Caenorhabditis elegans: one gene and its partners. The protein of the gene in region 3 purifies or fractionates together with the protein of the main gene of each other region. This does not show direct contact. Each region holds a gene or a part of one and is shown on either strand. Other genes may lie near its edges. The genes, in order: nfu-1, acs-14, osm-11 and ZK550.6.

What was found.
Region 1: the proteins of osm-11 (region 3) and nfu-1 fractionate together in Caenorhabditis elegans (co-fractionation; one large-scale study listed by BioGRID). This does not show direct contact.
Region 2: the proteins of osm-11 (region 3) and acs-14 fractionate together in Caenorhabditis elegans (co-fractionation; one large-scale study listed by BioGRID). This does not show direct contact.
Region 4: the proteins of osm-11 (region 3) and ZK550.6 fractionate together in Caenorhabditis elegans (co-fractionation; one large-scale study listed by BioGRID). This does not show direct contact.

What each region holds. Positions count from the first base shown.
Region 1 is NC_003282.8:10,385,659-10,388,881, reverse strand, and holds nfu-1 (NFU1 iron-sulfur cluster scaffold homolog, mitochondrial), read right to left. Parts: upstream 1,470-3,223; 5' UTR 1,466-1,469; coding exon 1,414-1,465; intron 1,371-1,413; coding exon 1,308-1,370; intron 1,262-1,307; coding exon 1,183-1,261; intron 1,119-1,182; coding exon 629-1,118; 3' UTR 531-628; downstream 1-530. Other genes in the region: R10H10.3 (CUB domain-containing protein), read right to left, coding at 285-362; Ankyrin repeat and KH domain-containing protein mask-1, read right to left, coding at 2,140-2,236, 2,282-2,610, 2,679-2,855, 2,907-3,223.
Region 2 is NC_003283.11:9,506,124-9,510,918, reverse strand, and holds acs-14 (4-coumarate--CoA ligase), read right to left. Parts: upstream 2,788-4,795; 5' UTR 2,786-2,787; coding exon 2,576-2,785; intron 2,460-2,575; coding exon 2,348-2,459; intron 2,295-2,347; coding exon 1,967-2,294; intron 1,734-1,966; coding exon 1,538-1,733; intron 1,490-1,537; coding exon 1,211-1,489; intron 1,136-1,210; coding exon 748-1,135; intron 702-747; coding exon 580-701; 3' UTR 541-579; downstream 1-540. Other genes in the region: haao-1 (3-hydroxyanthranilate 3,4-dioxygenase), read right to left, coding at 3,936-3,990, 4,036-4,121, 4,170-4,284, 4,336-4,450, 4,493-4,723.
Region 3 is NC_003284.9:17,419,692-17,423,049, forward strand, and holds osm-11 (Notch ligand osm-11), read right to left. Parts: upstream 1,778-3,358; 5' UTR 1,717-1,777; coding exon 1,665-1,716; intron 1,583-1,664; coding exon 1,065-1,582; 3' UTR 520-1,064; downstream 1-519. UniProt on the Caenorhabditis elegans protein: Probable secreted lin-12/Notch ligand or co-ligand involved in the mediation of Notch signaling. Involved in the lin-12/Notch pathway signaling of cell fate in vulval precursor cells (VPCs), acting redundantly with dsl-1 and lag-2.
Region 4 is NC_003282.8:17,259,767-17,264,068, forward strand, and holds ZK550.6 (putative phytanoyl-CoA dioxygenase), read right to left. Parts: upstream 2,720-4,302; 5' UTR 2,711-2,719; coding exon 2,564-2,710; intron 2,371-2,563; coding exon 2,121-2,370; intron 2,101-2,120; exon of another isoform or gene 2,080-2,100; intron 1,803-2,079; exon of another isoform or gene 1,779-1,802; intron 1,735-1,778; coding exon 1,553-1,734; intron 1,280-1,552; coding exon 1,141-1,279; intron 844-1,140; coding exon 623-843; 3' UTR 541-622; downstream 1-540. UniProt on the Caenorhabditis elegans protein: Converts phytanoyl-CoA to 2-hydroxyphytanoyl-CoA.

The DNA of each region.
Region 1 (3,223 bases), on a different chromosome or scaffold from region 3:
AATTTTGATAAATGCAAAAGTTGTTGTCTCATGTTTTTCTGAAGATTTTTGTATTTTGATTTCAAAATGTAGTTTGTTTAATAAATAAAAAAACATATTTTTCTCGAAAAACTATGAAGAATTGACCGCAGCAAATAAAGTTTGGATATACAGTTCACTTTAAAGGCGCGTACCTTCCGCATTTATTAAAATGATGTCGTTCAGAAACCGAACCAGCCGCAAAAATAGCAAAATTCCGCGTCTGGATAACATTGAAAATTCAAAAACTTGAAAAAAAAACTAACATGAATCAAGCTTTTCTTCTTATACGCAGATACTCCTAAATTTAAAATAATAGCGACGAGAAGAATTTGTTTCAACATTTTGAGCAGCACTCTGACTGATTTCTTATCAATTTACGAAGCACAATTTTCCACTTTTCCGGGTGATAAGTCTTTTAACTGATATCACTGATTTGGACTGGGCCGTTGAACTTTGACGTGATTCGATGATTTCAGAGTCATAAACCAATTCTACTAATACGACTTTCAAAGTAATAAAAAAGTTTTTATAAATATTCATTGAACATTTATCTCTAGCAGCAAACACTAATAAAAACAAATCTAGTTATACACGAATCAATTATCAATTAGTCTTTGATTCCTTTTGATTGCTCAAATTTCTTCAACTCTTGTTCCACAAGATCATCGGATTCATCCTTAACTTCGATAACTTCCTTCACTTCAGGCACGTAGAATGTGAGCATATTCTCAATTCCATTTTTTAAAGTGACTCCAGAGCTTGGACATCCTGTGCATGAACCTTGCATCTTCAATTTGACAACACCATCGTCAAAACCAACATAAGTGATATCTCCACCATCTTCTTGTACCATTGGTCTGATACGTGTCTCTAGAATTTCTTTGATCATCATTACAACTTCATCATCTTCTTCCACTTGGTCGGAAACAGTTGCAGCTTCATTTATGACAGGTTTTCCGGTTTGAATGTGATCAGCAATTGTTGAGAAGATTTCCGGACGGAGGAGAGCCCAGTCAACAGTCTCATCTGATTTCGTGACAGTTACAAAATCTTCTCCGAAGAACACACGCTTCACTCCGTCGACTCGAAGAAGTTTTCTGAAAATTTACAAATAAATACTATTTTATCTGAATGGTAGTTAAAATTTGGAATATTCCTTACATAGCAAGTGGACTTTGTTTTGCTGTAGCCGCTGAGCTGAAATCGTATGTTTTCGAGGCGTCTGGGAGAAGCTGTTGACCTGAAATACTACATTTCAGATTTTAAACAGTGAAGTTTCCACTAACCAGGTAAAAATTTTAAAGAAAGTGGATTAGGTGTCTCCTGAACTTGAATATACATTGATCGAGCTGAAATTTTAAAAAATGAAAGAATTTCTGGAACCAGTATCACCTGCTTGTACAAAGCTCCGGTTCAGTCTTGTGAGCATTTTTGATGAAATCATTTTTCTGAAAATTTTTGTTCTTTCAACATCTACCGACTTAATTCTCAAGATATAGGAATCAAAACCTCGAGTTGTACATTTCAATAGCCTAACCTGTATACTTTCAAGAATCACGATTCATGGATCAACATAAAGCGAAGAAAGTCATAATTAATTAGCAATGAAATAAATGCCCAGGTTTCATATGAAACAACGAGTAAAACATCAAAAGTGAAAAATAAGACACACTTTTCAATAAAGGGAAGAAAAAGTTGGGACCATTTGACATCCGTCTCAAATACATATGTGTTGTGTTGGAAGACTTGAAAAATAACCGAAAAAAAAGAAGTAGTATGTCGGGGGAGATATAAAAAGAACAAAAAATGGGTAAACGGGAATAATTTGGACAGAAGAGTACAATTTCCACAAGGCTGAGCTCGCAAGAAAACACTTGCTAGGGATGGGAAAGATCGAACATTTGAGAGTTGAAAGAAAAAATGGACCAAAAAAGGCTAGATTTAAAATGAAGAAAAAGTGTTACAAAACCCGGAACGAGGAGACGAAATAAAGAAAAATGGATGCAATTCAACCGGGAAGACATATTGTTTCACGGTTGAATAAAAAACAAGTAAACACCGAATTATTATGAGGGGAGGGGGGACTAATTGACAAGAAGACGATTTTGTGAGCGATATCTACCAGTTGGAAGACCATTTATTTGACGAGGATGACTGATGATTTTGTTGGCCAGATGCAGACTGCTGTTGCTGTCCAAGTCGGTTCCAATCCATTCTGTAATAAATAAACAAATATTTAATTAGAAATCGTAGAACTTACGCTTGAGGCATCTGACCGTAAGGCTGTTGCTGTGAACTCTGTCCGTATTGCTGATACATTTGCTGCATAGAAGTTCGAGATGGGTTCGTCGTGGAAGATGCATTTCCAAGAGAAGAGAATCCAGGTGGAGCTTGTGGAGCAACAAATGGTGGCGGTTGGGGCCGAGGTTGGATCATTCCGAGTCGCGATTGATTTGCAGAAGCGTTGCTGGGAGCTCCGAACGGCTGTGGCTGTTGAGAGTTATGCATGAACGATTGTTGTGCGAGTCCTTGTTTCTTCTGTTGTTGTTGTTGCTCGAGAATAGCAGCAATAACGCCATCAGAGTCATTCTAAATTTCCATTCATTAATTTTTAAACTGATCCTGCTATCTTAACATCAAATTTGTCCTAAACTTACATTAAATCCATCAAATTGCTTTATTCCTCTCTGTGACAATGACGGCATGCTAATTTGCCCTAAAACACTGGCATCCGTATACGAAGGTGATGGATAGTAGCTATTTGCAAGTTGACTACTTGTTGGACCAGGTGCTCCTGTAGAACTCTCTTGATGAGTCAATAATTGGGCGGCAAGCTGCAAATAAATCAAATAACGTATTTTCAGACATAAATCACGGATCCCTACATGGTTATACAGATTGGATCCCTGTCCATCTTGACCTAGCGACTGCATCTGATTGTAAAGTTGCTGCTGCTGTTGTTGTGATTGTAGCATTGAAAACTTTGAAGACATCAAGTCACTTGGTTGCTGAGAACTTTGAGACTGATGCTGTTGGTATTGTTGCTGGAATTGCTGAATCCTTTGCTGTTGTTGTTGTAGTGCTTGCTGCTGTTGAAGGTGTTGAATTTGCTGTTGTTGTTGCTGTTGAATATTCGTGGAAGTGCTATTAGCAACAGAATTCGATTGAGATCTTGCAAACAGGGGTGGTTGAGATCTATTCG
Region 2 (4,795 bases), on a different chromosome or scaffold from region 3:
CAATATCTAAGCTATACCTTTGAGCAATCTGTACATATTCAGCTGTTCACTTACTAGTAAAAGTCATGAATAAAACTATTTGCATAAGGGCAATTTATTTTCACATGAACATATTTTTTTCCATTCCCATGTTCCGATAGTCAACTTCATATTCTCAACCAACTATTCCCATTTTCCTCTTCTGCTATTTCAACCATCAATGATTTTTCCTGTATTTCTTCTAGTTTCCATTATTTTTCCACTCATCTTCTGCCAATGCCGTGATCTTCATCCAAACTGTGATTTGTTCAAAACTCTTGATCTTTGTACATCAGTTAGTTCTCAAAAAGCAATCATGAAATACAATTGTGCGTCTTCTTGTGGATTTTGTGGAAAGCAAGCCGGAAGTTGTGTGGATCGTTTGTCAAACTGTGCCGATTATAAATCTTCAGGACTTTGTGAAACTGATGATAAGCTACGTATTGAATATGCTTGCCCAGTTACTTGTAATGTTTGTTCTACTCCTGTATAATCATTCAATTACTTTGAGAAAAAACCATGAAAAATTAATATCAATAAAGTTAATGTACAAAAAAACATTTAAAGCTTGGCTGAAGAACGATCTCTCAAGAATCGTCTCAAAATCTTTCCAGCTGCGGACTTTGGAATTTCTTCAATAAATTCGACACCACCTTCGAGTTGTTTGTAAGGAGACACTTTTGCTGAAAGTATTATAGTTATACAGAAAATGCACTATTCATAACTTACGTTTAACAAAGTCCTTAACTTCTTGTTCAGTGAGAGTGTTATCAGCTCTTACAACAAATGCTTTAGGTAATTCTCCAGCTTTAGCATCTGGGATTCCAATAACTGCACAATCTCTAATCTTTGGATGAGATAGAAGAAGATCTTCAAGTTCAGCTGGTGGTACTTGAAGCCCTTTGACCTTGATTAGCTCTTTAAGTCGATCAACAATAAACAAATTTCCATCCTCATTGAGATAACCAATGTCTCCAGTGTGAAGCCATCCATCGATGACAGTGCTGGCTGTTGCTTCTGGTCTTCCGAGATACCCAAGCATAATTGTTGGACCACGAACACAAATTTCTCCTCGTTGGTTAACCGGTTGCTCTCTGTCGGTTCCTGGTTCCACAATCTGAATAACTTTTGTATAAATTGAATACTTTTGTTTCCTTTTAAACATTGAAAAACTTGATTCGGAAATTCTCACCTTCATAACCAAATTTGAAGCAAGTTTTCCAACGGATCCATATGGTTGATCATTTCTTAAATCAGGAAGATGACTAGCCATTGAACATTCCGTCATTCCATATCCTTGTTGGATGTATTTCAAATTTGTATACTTCCTCTTCAATTCTTCAATCAAATCCTTTCCAGCTGGAGCTGCTCCCGCCATTATCATTTGCACTGATGATAGATCAAACTTATCGCAAATTGGATGCTTGGCCAAGAAAACCATAATTGGTGGAACTAGGCAAAGACAGCGGACCTAAAGAATTAAATTAAAAATGTTATTTATGAACTTTTGATTCTATACTTTGTAGTTTTGAACGGCAGTCAAAAAATTATTCGGCTCAAAATGGCTCATGACAATTCCAGTCATTCCCTTGAGAAGACAGTGATTAAGAAGACCAAATCCATAGACATGATAGAATGGAAGAAACAAGAGAGCTTTCTCATTGTAGCAGTCCCAATTTGGATCAAGAACATCCAAAATGTGTGATTTATCAATTCTGAAAGTTGTGTCGTATATGAACCTAATTATATTTTCGTTTTTTTTCAATTACTTTTCAAAAAATGTACATAACGTTATACTGATTCTTCTGTATTGATCTATGAAATTGTTTTCTTGGCCCTTATCTTTTTTTGCGTCATAGGAAGGTTAAAGTGTAACCATTTTACTGTTAACTTTGTACTTTCACACCTATTCTGTCTCATCATCATCATCTTTAAATTTCAAACTTACGCAAGATACATGGAGATCATGGATGTAAAATTGTAGTGTGATAGCATAACACCCTTTGGTGGTCCAGTGGTACCACTCGAGTATGGAAGAACGAGTAAATCATTGTGAACATCAATTGGAACTTGTGGTAGAGCAGTGACTGGAGTTGAAACCACTTCATTCCAAGATACAACTCCTGCTGGAAGAGAAGATCCAACTGGTTTTGGGATGACAATGATCTTTTGGATGTTTGGCGATTGCTTCACAGCAAGAAGAACTTTTGGAAGAAAATCTTCGTAAGTAAAAACAACCTTTGCGCGAGAATCAACAAATTGACGTTGAAGCTCATCTGAAAACAGAAATTGCGGGTTGGTGAAAGTAACTTTCATCAATTTAACTTACAGTCAGTGAAAAGTGCACTAGCTCCAGATACAGCTCCACCGTTGATGGCACATCCAATGAAAAATGAAGTATAGTGCCAGACGTTTGGAAGAACAACAGCAGCAACATCTTTCTAAAAGATATCAAAAATTTAAGGCATTGTCTTGAACAAATTGAAAGATTTTTGAAATACTTCCTTTCTCTTGTTGAATTATAAAATTCCCAAATTTTTAACATAATGCCACATACCTTGAACCCAATGCTATGAAGATACATAGCGACAGCAAAAGCATCCTTACGAAGTTGTTCAAAAGTAATGAAATGTTTTGGATTATCTCCGCTCACAAATGCAATTTTATTCTTTCCATCGGCAATTGTTTTATCAATTGCATCAAGGAGCATCTCATGGTACGGACGCTCGGAAATCTTCACTGGTGGATATGTAGAGTCGTGTGGCATGGCTGAAGTTTGAAAAATAAATGAATTTAGCAATAACAATCAAAATATAAGAACTGGGCAAGAGGACAGCATGGGTAGCCTACAGTGTGGCCGAAGGTCAATTTAGAAAAAGATAGAGACTGATAAAGACGACAGTTGATAATAGTAAATAGGAAAACTACAGTGCTTAGACGTTATAATGTGGTCCATTTATTGTAGTCTTTGTTTTTTGGCAATTTATAACATTGATTCAACTGTTGAGGAAAAACCGTTAGAAAATTAAAAAAAAAACCACATGAGCGCGGGAAATACTTATCATTTCAGTTTCCGATGCTCATAATCCTAGACAATTTCAGTTAATACTCAATGAAGACAACGAAAGAAAAAGAATAAATGTACACAAAAAGGGCATATTAATGATAAGGGTTGCAAAACGAAAAATGGGCTATGAACAATAAAATAAAAGATCTGTAATCGTAATCAGATGTTTTTAAAGATCTGAAACTTGGATTGTACGTCATTGATCATATTAAAAAGATGCTCAAAACAAGGAAGTACTGGCCAAATTTCAACAATCAAAGTTCTCGTGACGATTTGACAGTAAAAAATGAGGTATTGTGAACATTTTCTAAATTATAGTTTTTTTCCAACCGAGAAGTTATTTTAAGTTATTATTTTCAATCTTCCCCATCAAATTTAAAAACAACCCCTTTGAAAATTACGGCTAAAAGGCATTTATTATTTTTCTGCTAAAAAATTTTCGGAATGAGTTAACGTTTTTTTTTCTAATGAAATAGAAATCATACTAAAAATAGTTATGTAAACTAACTACAAAACAAAAATTGGATTCTTTGTATTTTTAACCAATTTTACAGTTTTTACAGTGACATAATTTCCTGAAACGAACAACGAGGTCTGAAAGTACAAATTTTCTGAAGCTTTGAAGAACATGATGGTTTTGCTGAACCGACAGCGTGTGTTACACGAGACATTTGACATCGATGATAATGAAACGGAATTGATGTTATCAGTTGGCCACGATTGCATGTCATTCATTTTGTTATAAATCAAAATTGAAATTACATTTTGGAATAAAGATAGAAATATTGAAAAAAGCATTCATTCAATCAGCCTATATGGAAATTGACTTTTACAAAATTGAAAAAAAAAATTATGCTGGCATTCTGATGGTGATAGCAAATCCTCCTTTGACATTAAGAAGACACCTAAAACAAAATTATTTCAAAGAACCTATAATTCCGTATTCTTACTTTGTGTTCGGTTTTATCCTAACCATGGTCTCCGATTTCATTGCATAAGTGAACCCGCTCTCTTCTACGACCGCAAATGTGTTTTCCTAAATGATACATGAATTTTTTTTGGGATTTTTCTGTTTTTGCCATACCTGCAACCAAATTAGCAACTCTACAGTTCCACTTTCCAAATCATAAGATCCCTCTCCTAGCAACATAACTTCAGTTTTGTACTCAGGTGCTCCATAAATTCTCACTGGTCCGTTTCTGAAAACTTCTCAAATTAACTATCCGAAACAAAACCAACTAATTTCTTACTTCACTTCACTGATATGATCATAGATAAATTCTTTTCTATTAATAGGTACGGGTAAATCAGTCCATCTTGCTTCGTATGGAGCATTGCATGCAAATGTTCCTTTTCCTGGTTTACCTGAAACAAAAAATCGGTGAGCTCACACAACTACAAACCAACCAGTTTTGAATTCATTCGATCCATAAAATTCTTTGATTAATGGAGGTAAATCCTTGACAACATCAGTCAAATAGAACCATCTTTCAAAGAGTGTGATATTGGAAGAACCAACAAGAAATCGAACACAATCAAATTCAGTATTCTTTCGTTCACGTTCAACGACAAGACCAATAGAGTTGGAAAATCTTTGAGGTGAATGTTCTACTCTTGCTGGCAACATGAACATTTCCCCTGAAAAATAGAGAGCTCAATTTTGAGTTTTGATTCAGATTATCTAACATTTGTGAAAAAAATAATTCCAAA
Region 3 (3,358 bases):
TAGTATTCTAGTAATCACAACACAATAAAGACCAACTTTCAAAAGTTAGAACCCATACCACACCGCCACACCTTGTTTCCCTGCAAAAAGTCATTGTTTGTGCTGTGAAGTTGTTGACATATTCGAAAGGAGAACATGTTGTTTGAGGAGAAAAAGAAGAAGATACGACAATGATAATACTTCTCTCTGACACTGTCTTCAAAGAGCGAGCCATTTATCAAAAGAAACTTCATCACCGAATCTCGTTCTATCGTAATCATACATCAGAAGCCCACGGTGTAGACGGCGATGGTGGTGACAGGAGAAGAAGGAAGAGGAAGAACGGAGAAGAAGACGCGACGTCGAAAGACGATTTTTGTTAAGCGTTTGATCGTACGACACTCTCAGATAGTCTATTTTCGGAGAAGACAAAGATGTATTGCTTTCTTCTTTTTTCCTTCTTTAGAAGATTGTTACTGTATCTGTTTTAAACCATGTTTAACTATTTTTGCATTGTCAATGAAAAGAACAAGAAGATATGAAAGAGAAGAGTCGTCTTTATTAAACGTTATCAACTGAATTCCTTAATCAGAAAATCAAGCACTGGGCCAAACGTTTTTCAGGGGAGGGTACACAGTACTGAGACAAATCATTTACGGATCAGGTAAATTCAGGATTGAAGCACAAAAGAGCACATAAGCGGAGGTATGGACGAAATTAATCAGTTATCCAGCGATACTTTCCATCCAATTCGCTGCGATAACTGATTAACCAGTTATCTAGCTATTTTAGCTATTTTTTAATAAGCTTTCGAAAAATGTACACGATTCAAGATATCGAGATCTTAAATAGCTTAGCGAATCGGTAGGAGGGGCCAAAAAGAGAAAAAAAAATAAAAAATTAAATAATTGCACTAGGGTGCGAGCTCATAGAAAACAATTAGAGGGAAATTTGGGGGAGGAGTGAGAAAAGAAAAAAAACAAATGTTAAAAGTAGGTAGGTCCCACCTAGGCAAAAACGATTGCATGTCTTAAAGGCCCCCTATAGAGGAACGGCTTTGCTATTTACAATATTAACAACAACGCTTAATACTGCACTGGAGTGAACATGGTGCACTTGGAGTACCAACGTTGGCAAGTCTCGGCCATGGCAGCGGAAGATGGTGGGTTGCACATTTGATGGACCTTTGGATGAGTGTGGGCGCACTTGCACTCGTCGGTGCAGTGAGCGGCGGTGCATTCTGGAGTGCAGGTGGCTACGATGGCGGCGGTGAGACGGGTGGTCTGTGGAGCGGTTCTTGAGGAGTGGATGTGGGCTGGCTTGCGCTCATCGGCGATTGGCAAATCGAGGCTGGCAAAGTCGGATCCTCTTGGAAGGACTGGTGGCATAACGAGTGGTGAGCCGAGGTCTGGAAGCTCGACGAGTCCGGCCTTTCCAACGGCACAGTGCTTTTCGTAGGCTGGGCAGAACTTGGCAACCTTTCCAAAGAGAGCACGGTCAATTGGTCCAGCGTTGTCTCCACAGTATTTGTTGTAGTGGTCAAGATGCTTGATGCAATAACGTTCGGACATCTCCTCATTGCGACGAACACGGGCAGGGTTGGCTGAAAATACAAAGAATGATGTAATTGTCTAATATCTTTGAAAGTTATCGAATGTTCTCTATAGTTTTGTAAATGTGCTCACCTTGTGCCAAGACCATAACGATAGCGAGAGCGGCGACGGTAATAAAGTTCATTTTTGGAAACGGTGTTTTTTTGAGATTCAATTGCTTGATCTCGCAAGTCGAAACTGCGTACTGCCTATCTGAAATCGGCGCCTTTTATGCGTTCGCGTGAACTCCGCCCCACAATACCGCCCTTCCTTGTCTGTGAGAGTCGTCGGAAGCGGCGCGGGGCGCGCGTCCCGCCCCCTAGGAACTTTGAAGATTGCCTCGCGGTGGGGAGAAGGACGCCGAATAAACTGATTGTTCTAAAAATATCATCAGGGCCGAAGGAGGGAAAGAAGGATTGAAGTATCGGCGACTAACGGAATTGAGAAATAGCAGCACCGGTGTAGAGGGTTTCGTGGTTTTCGGCGGATGATGGATGGGATCTCTAATGATCGCCCTGTGGTTAGAGTGATGGAGAAGCCAGTGTCGCACACAGTTTTCTGAAGATGAGAAGATAGTGGTCGAAAAATGATAATGATGATGATGATGATGTGAGGAAAGATGTATAAGACATCCGATGGGGGTACGTCGAGGTCGTCGATGTGTTTCGATCTTCAGCTACTACGCCGTTATCATGTACCCTGCACAGCGTCGGACACAAACATCTCCGTGGTGCGCGTAAACTCGACGACGACTCGTGATGGACGTCTAAAAAGGGATATGGGAGACAGAAATAATGCACCCGTTCTTTACGTGTTATCACTGCTTTAGAAATAAACTATTTTTAGTGTTTCCCTCGTTGTACGCAATCTTTATTCTTCACTTCACCATTTCATTACTTCATCATGCGGAACACAGACTACTGCTACACAAAAAAGTTATAGTCGTCACGTTTCTTAAACCTTTTTTTTTACTTTTTGATGGTTTTTGTTTTAGCGACTGACCAAAACAATCTTGCGGTCAAGGCTTTTTCAGTGTAAGTACGTTATGATAAGCTAGGAACAATGAAGTTTGGGAATTGAATGAGTTAATCATTCGACGAAGAATTATTTCGTAGTTGAACTATGTGTGGCTTCTAGCATAACGTCATTTCAAAAGAGTTATAGATGACGATTACTGTCAGATGTTCTTTACTCAAAGCTTTATTTTGTAACACCGTGTTTACCAAACCACTACTTTCAATTAAGCAAACATCCGTGCAACTGTCTTTCTTTTTCATTTCCATATCCTATTCAATAATACCGTAACAACTTCCTTGGCAAGAAACAGTTCTTTGATTCAGGTTTTTACTGTCCGGAATTAGCTGCCCAACTTGAGACATGAGACCAGAGACAAATGTTTTCTCCAAGTTAGAATTCGAAACACAGAAAAACTGTATTTTTCCCCTGTTACCCTAAAAAACATGCCCTTTGCTCCTTCCCTGTCATTCATTCATCAAGGCACTTCTAGAAACAACGTCTTGTTTCTCTTTTCGTGTGATGGATTGTGTACGACCTCCAACACCTTCCGTATCTCCTGACTTTTAATGGTTGAGGTTGCGTCTAAATTTGGAACAACTTTGAACATTTTGAGTGACATCTTTTGAATTTGATTCTAGATAAGCTTTTGATTTTTTTTTCATTTCTATCTTGACACTCTTGTTCTCCTTTCTGTCATCACGGTGTACATAGGAGAAAGCATGAGAAAGCACCCACGAACTTTATATTCTCAGGGTGCGGCGGCGTGGAAA
Region 4 (4,302 bases), on a different chromosome or scaffold from region 3:
GTGTTCTATCGAGTTTTTAAACTGATTTAGAGCATTCCATAATTTTGTCAAAGTTTCCAGCAGATTATAGAGCGTTCCAAAATTTTCTAAAATTTTTCAACTTCTCAATTTTTAGGAGGTCCTAGAACAATTCAAAATTTTCTGGAATTCGTCAAAATGTCCTAGAACATTCCAGAAATTACAATCAAAACGTGAAACTCGTAGCTATTTTTTTTTTGGTCGACATCCAAAATACGGATAAGTGAAAACTGGTTTTTTACGTCTTTTTTTTCTGAAAGTTTTATAAATTCAATAAACTAATATCTGACATCAAAACAAATAAATATTTTAACGCATTTCTGTAATTAATTCTCGTTTAAATAGTTCTGAGTTCTGAGCTTCTGCCCAAGTCTCGCTTATTTTTAGTACTCATTTGGAATTCAATGTAGCAATATTATCAAAGTTAGTGGGAAAAAAATTGTGCAAAAAAATGTTTTGACGAAATTGTTCACGTATTTATGATTTGTTTTTTTTTCAAAAATTCAAGAAAAAACTCGCTTTCAAAATGTTAATTTATTAACTGAAATACATTACAAAAATTATCGACAAACTCTGATCGATTTCACAGTTTTAAACATAAAAATCACAAATTAGATCTGCGCCCATTGACCTCTCTGGCGCGAACCCTCCAAATGTCCGCGAAATCCAAGGTTACAGTATTCGGGTCGAGACCATATCTTGTCAGACGCTTCTTGGCGATTTCGATGATCTCCTCTGCCAATGTCTCTTGAGTTGTACCCTCGACGTTTACATAACGGCAGAGGTCGTCATTTGCGTAGTGACAGGAGATCGCTTTGCGGAATCCTGAAAAAAATTTTGTTTTGCACCGAAACTCCCGTGTCCAACGCATTTTTGTAGCTGGGAGTTCTCAATTTAAGAAGAATTTGAACTTTTAAAAATAAATTAGTATTTACTGCGAATTTTCATTTTTTGTATAAAAACATTGAAACAGTAACGAAAGGATGGGAAAATTTGTGTTAGAAGCAAAAATATCTTTTTTAGAAGAGTTTACCGACAATTGTGAGATTCATAGTTTTTATATCAAAGCATTGAAACAGTAATTTCTTGTTTAATTTTTTCCAAAGTTTCAAAAATGGTTACCTTCAGTTCTATTGGCTCCGGAACCATGAATAAGAATTGGATGAAAGAATACGGTATCTCCGGGTTCCATTTCCACGTGGATACGTGGCGTCGACGTGTCATAGTCCTGGATTCCGTGATAGGCTTTGTTCACACCACCCTGAAAATAAGGAACTTTTTGAGAGCGAACTTCAGACGTGGACTTATGCGCAAGCTTAAACCTAGTCTTCGGGTAATCCTGAAGCTTAGACTTACGCTTAAGCTCGGGCTCAAGCTTAGGCTTTTTCTCTGTCAAATATTAGCTCGCTCGTTTAGCTGTTTTTTTCTCAAATTTTCTCAAATTACTTAATTTCAAGTTTTCAAACAAGAATTCAACGTGGTAAATAGCTCTGCCAAAACCAAACCAAACCAAAACTCAGCTTAGCGGACTTACCTCCCATTTCGGGTACTCGTGTGGCAAAAGAACACCTTTATGAGTTCCGGGAACAACAACCAGACATCCATTTGCTCTTGTGATCTTCTCCATTGCGGTCCAAGCACAACAAATAAAATCTGCTGGACGGAATGGGAAATATTGAAGATCTTGGTGCATTGGGTGCCGGGATGTTAGTTTTCCTTAAATATGATAATTAGAACTTGATTATTAAATGTTCTGTAATTTTGTTCTGTGAACGATATAAGCAGTAAACTTCTCAAAATACTTTCATTTTTTGAACCGATTTTGAAACAGTAGAAAATTTTGAATTTTTTTCAAAATTTTTTTGAATTACTGATTTTCGAATTTTCACAACTCTTTATAGACTATTCAAGATATTTTACGTTCTTCAATTTTTTTACAGTTAGGAGTGTGGTTTGGCAAAACAAATAACAATTTAAGATAATTTTGGACATGTTTCATAATTATCAAAAAAAAATTTGTTTCAAACTTTTTTATTTAACGTGTCTTATTTTAATTAACATTTTCTAGTAAATCCTAATACAATTTAAAGTTCAAAACTTACCATTATCTGGTGGTTTATTGATAAGCATTGTATGCATTGCCATCAAATTCGACTTTGGATTTCCAATCAAGTCCTTCACCACATCGACAACTCCCGGATACTTACAGTACTCAAAAAGAACTGGATCATCTGCAAAATCCTGGATCTTGGTGATCGCCTTCTCACCGTCTTTGAATTCGGATTTTGCGATGGAAATGTCTTTCATGACGGTCATGTTTTCTGGAGCTTTTACTTTTTTCTCGCAAATGTCCTGAAAATACATTTTTAGAAAATTGTGACGTCACAACTTTGTAAAAAAATTCGTTGCAGTCAGGTTGAAAAATACTTCGACGCAAAATTAAAAATTGTCGAAATAAAACTGAAACTTTAGGCCCCATCAATTTTTGTGGACTATTAATCCCAGCCTATAGTCAAAAATTATGCAGCCGGGCGCATTTGCTCACCTGAAATCTTTGTCGGAACCTGTTCAATTCGTACTGTGGAACACAGTTTCGAATCAACAGATATCCATTTTTCTCGTAGAATCGCCTCTGCTCGGCACTCAAAATTGACCCTTCCCGGGTATAATCAACGACACCTTTGCCAAGCATTTGGGGAGCCTGGAATTTTGAAGTAGATTATGGAATCGCTTTACGTTTAGACGTCATAGTGATATTCTCAAAAATTAGGCAAAAAATATCGTATTTTTGAAACAGTAAATTTATTTGAAAACTAGCTGCTGATCGCGCCTCCGGCGCGGAAGAAAAAACCACCAAAATATTTCTGAAGAAATTTGAATTTGCACCAAAATTTTTCTGAACAAATTTGAAATCCCACCAAAATTTTCAGAAGAAATTTGAATTCCCGCTAAAATTTTTCTGAAGAAATTTGAGTTTGCACCAAAATTTTTCTGAAGAAATTTGAATTTGCGCCAAAATGGGTCTCATGCGTTGTGACGTCACGGAAACAAACAGACAAACGGAAAAAACTAACACCCTATTTTTTTAAAATATATAAGTAATGATCACTACACTAACACAATGTGAATTGGAAGGAATGAAAATTGTTATAAAATTAGTGAAACAGTGAAAATTTTACATTCATTATTAAAATCGGTATTGTCTATAAATTGACCGAAATTTTTTAAATTGTTTTGAACAATTAGAACAGTACCGAAAAAAATGAAACTTAATGTTTAAACATCACGATATTTTTTATCGATATTATTATCATAACATGTTATTGTGACTACAAAATTAACAAAATATATGAGGTACATTTACCTAGTTTTGGAACAGGAAAGAGAATCGGATCATTTCCTATTATCATCCAATGCAATATATGATAAGACAACTACAAATTGATCAAAATAGAATTTATAGGAAATATCCAAAAATTCCTGGTAATACTTCAATGTTTCTAGAAAAATTGTATACTAAATTTTTGAATTTAGAAGAATATATTTGAAACGGTAATTTTACAATTCAGAGTAAAAAACAACAATTCGTAAAACCTAAATAGCAAATTTTATAAAGTTATAGATTTTAATACTAAAATAGATTTGAACCTGTTTTGTTGAAACGATAGTTTTTTTTTAAATTTAAATACGACACTTTGGTGTTTTTTTTTAAATTATTATTTTGAAACAGCAATTTTTGAGGAGAACTGTATTTTGTCTAGATGTTTTTATTTTATTTCACTGAAACACAGATTTCGCGACAGTTCGAGCGGAATTTTTAGGTGAACATATTTTTTTAACACGTACGTCATAATGCAGGAAATTGAATTCAATTTTTTTGAAACAGTGAATTTTTTTTTGAAAATTGTATGAAGCCACAACTGCTATGAAGCATTATTTTTAAGAATTATGCTTTCAGGAAGCAGTAAAAACTTGGAACATCTATCAAATCAACAATAAAAGTGGAATCAACATGGATTATCTCAAATGACACGAACACAACACCGCAAAAAATGAGAAAAGCGAGGGAATTACCCGTCTTATCACCACGCTCTCTCATTGCATTTTCTTAATAAATACAAGTCTTGTTGAATAGAGAAATAAAGAAAAAAAGAGTGTCAATTGCCACAGTGTACCGTTATCGTACACCTTGACACCAGTTGTTGTCATGACCATATGATAAATGATTAGAGATTGAGAAACACACATTTTTCAAATTTGGCACGTTCCCTGATGCATGCGGAT